3 linked regions of the Xenopus tropicalis genome follow. The protein of the gene in region 1 interacts with the protein of each later gene in a pairwise test. Links are inferred from orthologs where the notes say so. Each region holds a gene or a part of one and is shown in the gene's direction. Other genes may lie near its edges. The genes, in order: zc3h10, atxn1 and nfya.

Region 1 (3,755 bases):
TTGACAGCTCAGCAATAAACTTGGTATAAAACTTAAAAAAAAAAAACTAAACAGACAATTTTACTCTGCCCTAGTTTGCACAAAATCTTTTCCCATTTTGGTCAACATGGCTTCCATGGTGGCAGGTACTTCTTTTGACAACCAGGAAAAATTGTTTTTTTAAAGGGATACTGTCATGATTTTTATGGTATACTTTTTATTTCTAAATTACACTATTTAGCAAATAATTCGCTCTACCATTTTATTCTTGAACCAACAAATGTTTGGTTTTTTTTAATGTAATATTGGTGTGTAGGCACCATCTCAGTGCATTGTGCCTGAGTCTGAGCTTTTGGGAGCCAGCGCTACACATTAGAACTGCTTTCAGGTAACCTACTGTTTCTCCTACTCAATGTAACTGGAGGATGCATGACATTATTTTTTACTATTGAGTGCTATTCTGTTACCTACTGGGAGCTGCTATCTTGCTCCCTTCCCGTAGTTCTGCTGATCTGCTGCTGGGGGGGTGATATCACTCCAACTTGCAGCCTAGAAGTAAAGTGTGACTGAAGTTCATAACAGCACAGGTCACATGGCTGTAGCATCCTGAGAAATGAAGAATATGGCTATGTAAAACGTCAAAATTACATACAAAAAAAAATCTGTGTTTTTGAAAAATGGATTTCAATGCAGGATTCTGCTGGAGAAACTCTACTAACTGATACATTTAGAAAAAAAACGTTTTCTCATTATATTTTTTCTCTCTTATATTCCTAAAGTTCCAAGTCAGAACTCCAAGCAGCAAATACTAAATAAACTGGGAGCTGACATGGACAGCATGGACATTATGACAAACCAAGACGAAGATCATTTTTTTGCGGTCTCTTTTGTTCTCTAACAGAAGTAGTACGTGCGAGCAAAAGAAATACAAATTGTGAGGGGAACTACCACACCTACTAGCACCATCCGATTGGCTGACGCAGAGGTACGTCAGCTCATCACTCCAATATGGCGGTACGTGATGAGCCGACGTACCGCCATATTGGAGTGATGAGCCGACGTAGCTCTGCGTCGGCTCATCACGCCAATATGGTGGTACGTGATGCGTCACGGCGCTTACGTGCAGTTGTGACGCAAAGTCTCGCGTGATGAGACTTGTGGCGTTGGATCGATTGTAAGTGAGGAGGCCGGGAGCTTGCGACTAGCGTGTTTGCGGGAGCCGTAAGTAGCGATCTGTGAGTGCGGGATGTGTTTGGTGGTACTGTTGGTGTAGGGAGATTCGTGTAGGGGAGGGACCATTCAGGCGCCGTAACCCCGGGCCACTGTCCCATATTGATGGCGGCTCTGTTCCCGCCCGTCGGTGTGTATAGGCGCCATCGCTGTTTCTTCTGCCCGTAATGCGCGAATGGTTGTTCCTGGCGGAGAAACTGTAAAGACTCCCTGGTTTCCGAGTGGCTTCCTTCCGCCACAGGCAAAAACAGCCAATGTTTCATTTAAACTCGTGTTGTGCGGCGGCTCCTGCTTTACTGGGGCTCACACGGTGCTAATACATTTATTTAGGGTCGAAAATCGAGATTTCAATCAGATTGTCCCTATTCTTTTGTACAACAGGAGTTTTGTCACATTTAGTAGATACAATAATCTAAGACCCATGTATGACGATGTAGTGCGCATGTCCATGAACAGTACCCATGGGGAATGCTGATTGGCTGCAATTGTCTACTGCTTTTAGGCAAATTTAGTTCCGTTTAAAACTTAACCCCATAAGTGACTTATTCCGCCGTGCAGACATTAACCTTAGGGTGTTAGTGTGGCCTCGCCTCCCTCCATGTCCTAGACCAGGGGGTCCCAACATTTTATTTGTACCTGAGAGCCACTATTAAATGAATAAAAGATTTGGAGGAGCAACACAAGCATGAAAAAAGTTCCCAGGTGTGCCAAATAAGGGCTGTATGAGCTTTGTGGTACCCCCTATGGACTGGCAGCCTACAGGTTGCTGTGTTTGGTTGTACACCTGGTTTTTGGTTTATCAACCGAAACCTACCTCTGAGCCAGGAATGAAAAATAAGCACCTGCTCTGAGGCCACTGGGGGCAACAGCCAAGGGGTTGGGGAGCAACATGTTACTCCTGAGCCACTGGTTGGGGATCACTGACCTAGACAATAATATTCTACATTTGCTGGGTGATCATTGAACTGTAGCAACATACAGACATCTTTTTCTTTCTGCATGTATATATGTGCCCTAAACTTAGTAAAAATATTACCCCGCCTTAAAGGACATGTAAAGCCTGCATTTGCCTACAATGTATATCAGTTGGGCATGTCTCCCCCACCCAAATGGCATTATTTGTACTGCATATATCCTCTCCGTTTGCCAGCACCATCACACTTTCCTAAAGCAAATAGCAGCTTTCACCCAGTGGCCATTTTTCCTCTGGTACATAATCAGATACATTTAAATCTGCAAACAGCATACACACACAGACCCTTATTCAGAATACATTTCATCAAGAATACAGGCTCACACAGGCACGACTGTCTCTGCTAAAAGTTCTGCTTTGTTTGTGCTGAGCTCAGGAGAGGAGGTTGGGAGAAAAATATTGAAGCCTGCAGCTAGAGATGAGTTTCTATGGGAACCAGCAATGCTATCTTTTCACTGGCTGCTAGACTGGGGGCGTGTTTAGTTATCTGAGCTTAGAACAACTGAGCTTGCCCACAAGCCAACAGCCAAAGCAAATTCCTGAGAGGGGGAGCTAAGTGATTTAAAAGTGATTAAAGGAACAGTAACACCAAAAAATCAAAGTGTATAATGTACTGTTGCCCTGCACTGGTGCAACTGGTGTATTTGCTTTAGAAACATTACTATGGTTTAGTAAATGAAGCTGCTGTGTAGACACGGGGGCAGCCATTTAAAAGAGAAAAGGCACAGGTTACATAGCAGATAACAGATAAGTTCTGTACAATACAATGGTGTTTTATCTGTTATCTGCTATGTAACCTGTGCCTTTTCTCCTTTTTCCAGCTTGAATGGCTGCCCCCATGGCTACACAGCAGCTTTTTATATAAACTACAGAAGTGTTTCTGAAGCAAATGTGCAGATTTTACCAGCGCAGGGCAACAGTGCATTGTATTATGATTACTTAAAAACATTTTTATTTTTTGGTGTTCCTTTAAGGGGATCCTGCAGCCTTACTATTAACCTCTGGACAACCAGTGTGGCAGGTATTGAGAGATTTCAAAGAGGCTGTTCACTGATTACATTTTTGTGTGGGGGGTTTACATGTCCTTTAAGTATGTTGAACTGGGGCAGTTGAATAAGGCATTCCAACTATAGTTGCCCTCTTATTTCTTACTCCATTTAACACTGGGCACTCAACCGATTCACCCAACGTCTGACTAGTTACTTGCCCTCCTATATGTCAAACCACCCCTCTAGTTAACATCCCTGCAGTTTGTTTTATTTAATTATCTTAAATGTGGCAATCCTAATAACCAATGTTTAGGTTTGCATGTTCTGGTGAAGAGACAGCTGGATGGGCTTTATTGGGTATAATTATGATTATAGCTTTTTACTCTTAAATGAATGAAGCACACTAGTTGCTGCTTTTTAAGGCCCCCATACACGGGCCGATAATAGCTGCCAATATCGGTCCCTTGGACCAACTCGGCGGCTTATCTGCCCGTGTAGGGGCAGAAACGAGCGGACTGGCCGACCGATATCTGGCCTGAAATTGGCCAGGTTAAAAGATTCAGTCGGATCAGGGGCCGCATCGG
Region 2 (3,755 bases), on another chromosome or scaffold:
TACCTTTAAAGAATGGCATTTTTCCAACACAACTGTGGCAACCTTGGGGCGCCCACTTTCTTGAGGTACAAAGGTTTGAGCTAGGTAGGGAATATCCTACTGCTGTTCTCTATGTAAAAGGTGGCATGTGGCTGGATATGGATATGGATGTCTCATAAGCAGAAGTCCTGCTCAGTGCAAGCTTATAGTACAGGTTCTAGTTCACTCAAGTATGGTGAGCAATATTAAAAGGGCGTGGATAGCATTTTAATGGCCATATGGCCAGACATAATGGAAGACATTCCTCCAAATAGTCCCTAGTTATTATTTATTACTGCACCATATACATAAATGTTATTGAGTAATAGTTACATTTATCGATACTTTACCTGTGAGATTTATGTTTGACAGTTTATGAAATACCTTATTTCTCAGCATTCTAAGCATTCAAGCTTATTTCAACATTCTTCTACATTGTATCCGATTCTGCTTCTGGAGAATAACAATATGGTTATAAAATAGCCAAATATTACCTAAACCACTATACTATCTATCTATATATATACCTATCTATTCTATATATACCTATTACTAGTATCTGTTAGGAGAAATGGAAGAAAATAGGTGCAAAGTTTGCTCCAGATCTATTCAAATAAATAGCAATTAATCAGCAGTTAACATGCTGCAATTAAATACTCAAAAGTCATAAGGGTAATTTATAATAACAATACATGTAACAGTATTGTACATATTTTGTAAAAGCTTATAAGCTTATCTGTCATGGCTCCTGTGGGCCCAGCAGGTCAGCCTTATCCAGTCTTTAATGCATGCCACATCTTGATCCGCGTTTGGTTGCTCCCATTTCTCTCTCTTCAGTATGGACCACTGATGCTCACTCCGTCTTAAACTGAGATAGCTAAAGACACACCTTGGAGGAGTTCAAAACACAAAAAACATGCATTAAAAGAGTAGTATTTTTTCCCACTTTTTTAATACTTTTTTGTATATTGCTTGTATGCTTGTTTGAATATTCACTTAAAGCTGTGGCCCTACGCCCATTTTTGACCTACAGTTCAGTTTGGTACTGCAGCTAAACAACTGTGAGACATCCTTCTAACTACTTAAAGACTTATAATACATCTTAGGTACTTTTATTCATATCACCCCCCCAAAGGCCACCTTTAGTGTTGGTGGCTGATGGAAGATGCCCTCTATATCGCTTAATACAACCAGCCTGGACTGTTTGTTTGTACCAGGGGCAATGTTCAGCCAGGAAGCCGTGTGTACACTTTACTGTGTTTGCTGTTACTTATTGCAGGGCATTGGAACTGTGAAACAACAAAAAAAACCACTGCATGACATATATGAAGGAAACAAGCCATCTGCTTGCTGTGTTTTCCACAACCTATTATGTTTTACCACCAGAGGGTACTCTTCAGGGTCACCGAGTCTGTTAGCATGCTTTTCAGTAACCCTCTGTTCCCTGGAGAGAGGAAAAAAAAACACAACAGGTTAGAAAAGTCCTCAAACACTTGACACCTGCTGGACAAACAGTCAGAAAATCACAGGCAATAGGTGCCCTTGGTGCTGTTTCCCACAAGGCAGCAGCTGAAGCACCCAGGAAGTGAGCTGTAATAGAAAACGTCTTTACATGAAGGGGTATGCCCAAAGCTGAAAGTTTCAGGGATTTTCATTCCCTTATGAGATAGGAAAACACATTCACACAAATAGGACGGTGCCTTATTGAAAAAAGGCTTATGTGGTGGAATGAATTCCATTGTTCAGCCTGCTGGCACAGATAGGGTTAAGCCAGAAGCGATTTCCTACATGACGTGAACACGTAAGGTCTGCGTTGTTCCTCTCTGTGGACATTGAGCTTGGCTTGCCCTTACAATTCCTACTCTCTGCCTCTCCTCCACCCCTTCTTCTCTTTCCAACAGAGGCACACACCCTACAGGAATCAAACGTGTGCACGTATTAAAGTTACTCCGCGCTGCTGCTACGTCTCTGCTCGCACTTTCTTCCTTTAAATGATCCTGAAGAAGAATCCCGAAAACCTCTTTGTTTTTCTTTTAAGGGGAACACCCACATTTAAAACTGCACCCTCAGTAGCTGTAGAGATACAACAAGTATACGGCAGGCTGGCGGATCAGCACGTAGAAGGGGTTAAAGCCGACCGCCCCAGCTCTGTTGTGCGTATGCAATAATCTGTGTGGCTGCCTTGGCCGTCTGCCAGAGTGTTGCCTTGCCTCCACACACACTCTCTGCCCCCCCCCTTCCTCCCTTTTGCATGAAGTAGGATCCTTGAGCTGTTGCAGAGGCAGCCAACTGCTCCATATTTGGCTTCTATTACACATTTACATACTGGAGAGAGAGAGGGAGAGAGCTGTACTGCAGACATCATTTCTACTACAGTAGAGGAGACGTACAAGACCTGTCTTTCTGCGAGGGGGGGCAGAGTAGGAGGAAAAAAAAAGCAATAGCTCAGACACCCTCTTCATCCAACAAGCCCCTATACTGCACTTTACAGTAAGTCGATTTTATTTGTCTCTTCACTTTTCTGTTCTGATCATGCAGACCTTAGTGGGCAAGTGCTATACATGCATGTACTATAGCATTTCCATGTACAGAAGCTTCTCTGGGATCATCTGTAAGCCTTGCAGAACTACAGATCACAGGCTTATTTTTCCTGCTTTTTATACCCCCTGAAAGAAGCAGCGATAAGTGAAATCAGTCAGAGATACAGGCATGTATTTTTTCTGTTCGCTGAAATGATATAGTGCAGTGCCTACCAGGAGTGCACCATCGGTGCAAATGTTCTTGATGAGTGCCGCTGTCTGTGTTTCGTGTAGAGTGGGGCCTGCTTTCCATAGGAACTGAGAGTAATAGAGTGTTTTACCCTGATCAGTAATAGGGAGACTGCAGTAATTGCTTTCCCCATGGGGTAATGAAGAGAGCCAGTGTGAGTGTGTGTACGAGAGAGGAGAGCACACGTTTATGTCACCTCTCTTAGTCCCCTCCTCCTACTGTCTGATCTATCAGTCTGCTTCTCTTCTATGGAGACCACCTGGTTCCAGATTACTATAGAGACACTTGCACAATCTTGCCATTATTTTGATTGTAGGGTTATTCCATTATTCATGAACATAAAAGAACTGGAAGGGCTACAGATACAGAAAGCTAGAAGGCTGAATAGAGGTAATTAGGTAAATTAGGCATGCCCAACATGCGGCCCTCTTTGGCTGGACTACAACTACCAGCATCCCTGGCACTTCCCTGAAAGCAGCCATAAAACCTGGCTTACTAGGTATAAAATCCTTTCTAATATATTTTTTTTATTAATGATATTAAGCCATGTAGTTCAATGTTTAGTGAGCTTACATGTTTGTGATCAAAATTAAACAGACAGGGCTGCATTTTAGCTCTTATGTTGCACTTTCACTACATACAGTCCATATTATTATTATTATTGTTGCTCTACTTTGAATTCATGTAAATAGGCCTAACCAATGACAGAATGTGGTTAGGAATTTGCACAGAGCTGGCCTAAGTAATACAAGTTGCCCTACATTAAAGCCAAGGCATTGTGTTCTGAACCACGGCCTAGTGCTGATAGAAAGACAGGCCCGGAGCATTTGGCAGACAGACTGCTCCACCCCACAGTGCTGGGTTCTGTCCTCGCTGCTTTTACCCTGCCCTCCTGGAGAACAGTATGATCCAGTCTGCTCCTTCCAGAAACACTTTTATAAAAGTAACAGTTGCCATTTTTAAATATG
Region 3 (3,655 bases), about 66 Mb from region 1:
GGTACGGCTCACAGAGGAGTGGGCGTTCCCTCTGACTCACAGTGACAGCCAATAGAAATAAAGCATCAATTACCCAGAGTCCTTTGTTGTATTCTGGGATGTATTAACTGCCCGAATTTACTGGCCAATTGGAACTAATACAGGGGTCACCCCCCCCACTGTGACCAACCCTCCCCCCACTGTGACCAACCCCCCCCACTGTGACCAACCCCCCCCACTGTGACCAACCCCCCCCCCACTGTGACCAACCCCCCCCACTGTGACCAACCCCCCCCACTGTGACCAACCCTCCCCCCACTGTGACCAACCCCCCCCACTGTGACCAACCCCCCCCCCACTGTGACCAACCCCCCCCCCACTGTGACCAACCCCCCCCCACTGTGACCAACCCTCCCCCCACTGTGACCAACCCCCCCACTGTGACCAACCCCCCCCCCCACTGTGACCAACCCTCCCCCCACTGTGACCAACCCCCCCCACTGTGACCAACCCCCCCCCCACTGTGACCAACCCTCCCCCCACTGTGACCAACCCTCCCCCACTGTGACCAACCCCCCCCCCACTGTGACCAACCCCCCCCCCACTGTGACCAACCCTCCCCCCACTGTGACCAACCCTCCCCCCACTGTGACCAACCCCCCCCCCCACTGTGACCAACCCCCCCCCACTGTGACCAACCCTCCCCCCACTGTGACCAACCCCCCCCCCCACTGTGACCAACCCCCCCCACTGTGACCAACCCCCCCCCACTGTGACCCCTGATGTACCCCACTAACAGCATTGGTTGAAATAGAAAATTTTCCATTTATCACCACCTTTTGGAATCTGTCTTTCAGCTAGTTCTCTGTCCACATACAAATTGCGTGTTGAGGCTAATATTCCATTTTAATAATTAACATTGTGTGCAGTACTGTATGAAATGTTGATATGTCTTTCTTCAGCCTTATCTACTATATTACTTATCACTTACCTTTCTGTTGAGCTCCTCTTTTATTCACCTTTCAGTCTCTTACTGAAATCACTGCCTGGTTGCTTAGGGTAAGTTGGACCCTAGCAACCATATAGGTGCTAAAATAATAAAGAGAGGAGAGAGTGTAAAGAACAGCACTGGATATAATTATGTGTGTTAGAAAACAATTTTATCTGTTAGAATAAATTGAAAACATTTTTTGTCATAATCAGTGACCAGCTTATCTACCATTTGTTGCTGCCTTAGAAGATCTGATCTCCCTAACTGAAGCTTTTTAATTACACCAAAAACTTCAGCAACAACACATGTTGTTAGAATTCATTTAAAAAAAAAAAACAAAAAAAAACAAAGTAATGTATTTATTACTGCTTAGCTACTGCTAATGAGAGAAGTCAGTGTAAGCAAGATCTAAAAACATGTTTAATAAGTTACTGAATGCTAACAAAAAGGAACACATTGAAGTAAATGAAGTGTTTTATTATGTCATTGACTTGTTTATGGTTTCAATTAACATTTGCAGAACCAGCAGCAGATAGCTGTTCAGGGTCAGCAAGTTGCACAGACAGCTGAAGGTCAGACTATAGTTTACCAGCCTGTAAATGCAGACGGAACCATTCTTCAGCAAGGTAAGTAAATGTAACTTGTGTTTTATTTATTGTATTACTCTGATACTTAAACATTTTCTTATTCTGACATTTCCACACCCACCGATTGATCATTCTAATGCTTATAAAAAAATTCAGTTTAGCTTGTATAACTGCGATATAGTGATAAGCTTCCTTAGACACTGGCAGCACTTACTGAACTATAATATTAAACCTGCCATTTATTTAAAGCATGGGTGCGGTATTTTATCTTTACTTTGTTTAACTTTGGATAATCACCTTTCTCTTGGACAGCAGGTTCTCCCCACAATGGTCACAACTTATGAGTTATTATATTCAACATATTGGTTGTGAGCACTGGCGGCTTACCTAGGATTAATCCTCTATCCACCTCTCTGTCCCTGTGTTTTGTTTTACCTGATTTGTCCCCTTAAGTGACAGTCCCTGTTACAGGAATGATCACCATACCTGCTGCTAGCCTAGCTGGAGCTCAGATTGTGCAGGCTGGAGCCAACACCAATACCACCAACAGTGGCCAAGGAACTGTGACAGTTACTCTTCCTGTGACTGGCAACATGATGAACTCTGGAGGCATGGTGATGGTATGTATTAATACTGTATGCCTCTGGTTTGAATACATGATTTTTTTTCCCTTGCTTTTTTTTCCCTTTGCTTATTATTAATATCTTAATACAGATGGTACCTGGTGCTGGCACTGTACCCACTCTACAGAGGATACCACTGCCTGGTGCCGAGATGCTTGAGGAAGAGCCACTTTACGTGAATGCTAAGCAGTATCACCGAATCTTAAAGAGACGACAAGCACGAGCTAAATTGGAGGCAGAAGGGAAAATCCCAAAAGAGAGGAGAGTGAGTGTAAGGCTAAGAATAAGTATATGAACCAGAGATCTCTCCCAGTGACTTATAAAAGAGTGCTATGAGTTTGCTGAATATAAGTTTGTGAGCTATGAGAATGCTGTACAGCCTGGAGACTGCTGTTAGTTGATGTAGTGTTTAAAATGTTTAACTATGCAGGCACATTTGACTGCACTGTACCATGTTTCTGTACAAAGATGTGAGAATGGGACAAAAGTATTCCAAAGCCACTCCAACCTTTCATTAGATAGGGGGGAGATTGTTTTTTTTTTTTTTTTTTTTTTTTTTTTTTTTTTTTTAAAAGTGTGTAAATATTAGCCAAAACACTTTTTTTTTTTTTCCTTATACAGGCAGAGCACAATTCAACAAGTATTATTTGAAATGTATCCTCAAAGTAAAGTGTTGTTGTGTGGGGTGGCATTTAAGTAGGTGTTCCTGCTGCATTTATATGACTTTTATATAAAATAATTTGTTGCTGCATTATACAACATCCCAAATCATTTCAAACCACACCCCTGTGGCAGCGCGCTCGGCCAAAAATGGCGAGAAAGCACTAGGTGCTGCTGCAATAAATATCAGCATCTACAACACAGAGCAATGATATGAATTGATGTCTTGCTAAAGGTCCTCTGTGTAGGACTGAAACGTCGACTTACACCATTACATTTTTGCACGTAATTTAAGTCCCATAAGTGCTCTGTGTTTTACATGCAGGCAGATATGTATATATAGCACCCCCCTAGTGTTAATTATCGCTTGCCTGAGACCCAATGTTGGTGCATCTTTTATCAGAAAACTGCCCTGGCCAGGGTACTTCTGAAGGAGCACCACACTTTCATCTTTCTTGATTGTCTCACGACTTTGGAAAAACCTTTGTCGCTTATGTTTTCCACCGCCCATTTACATTATTGGCAGTGGGAAAGCATTTTGGGGAGATTGGTCGTCTGCGGGTGACTAGTCTTCCCGTGTGCCATTACCCTAAATTTGCAAATTTTACCCTATTATGATAGAACAGGGGCATTGGCAAAGGTGAGGGGCATAGCAGGTAACACTGCCCTGGAAGAGTACACTTTTCAAGGACAGGAGTGCTGGCCCGGGGTCCAAGTTTAGTGATTATATTAACTACGGCATCCGTAACACCCCCAATAAAGTAAAATTTTACATTTAAATGTAATTTTCTAAAAGTATCTGATTTGTGGTGTTA

What was found.
Region 2: the proteins of zc3h10 (region 1) and atxn1 interact in binary tests that used the Homo sapiens proteins (3 or more experiments, as listed by UniProt). The link is inferred for Xenopus tropicalis from reciprocal best matches to the Homo sapiens genes ZC3H10 and ATXN1.
Region 3: the proteins of zc3h10 (region 1) and nfya interact in binary tests that used the Homo sapiens proteins (3 or more experiments, as listed by UniProt). The two-hybrid records come from large-scale screens. The link is inferred for Xenopus tropicalis from reciprocal best matches to the Homo sapiens genes ZC3H10 and NFYA.

What each region holds. Positions count from the first base shown.
Region 1 is NC_030678.2:137,624,062-137,627,816, reverse strand, and holds the start of zc3h10 (zinc finger CCCH domain-containing protein 10), read left to right. Parts: upstream 1-1,136; 5' UTR 1,137-1,200; exon of another isoform or gene 1,201-1,214; intron 1,215-3,755. UniProt on the Homo sapiens protein: Specific regulator of miRNA biogenesis. Binds, via the C3H1-type zinc finger domains, to the binding motif 5'-GCAGCGC-3' on microRNA pri-MIR143 and negatively regulates the processing to mature microRNA.
Region 2 is NC_030682.2:93,270,859-93,274,613, forward strand, and holds the start of atxn1 (ataxin-1), read left to right. Parts: upstream 1-1,441; 5' UTR 1,442-2,508; intron 2,509-3,755. UniProt on the Homo sapiens protein: Chromatin-binding factor that repress Notch signaling in the absence of Notch intracellular domain by acting as a CBF1 corepressor. Binds to the HEY promoter and might assist, along with NCOR2, RBPJ-mediated repression. Binds RNA in vitro.
Region 3 is NC_030678.2:71,394,857-71,398,511, reverse strand, and holds part of nfya (nuclear transcription factor Y subunit alpha), read left to right. Parts: intron 1-1,490; coding exon 1,491-1,596; intron 1,597-2,010; coding exon of another isoform or gene 2,011-2,028; coding exon 2,029-2,177; intron 2,178-2,271; coding exon 2,272-2,445; coding exon of another isoform or gene 2,446-2,451; intron 2,452-3,655. UniProt on the Homo sapiens protein: Component of the sequence-specific heterotrimeric transcription factor (NF-Y) which specifically recognizes a 5'-CCAAT-3' box motif found in the promoters of its target genes.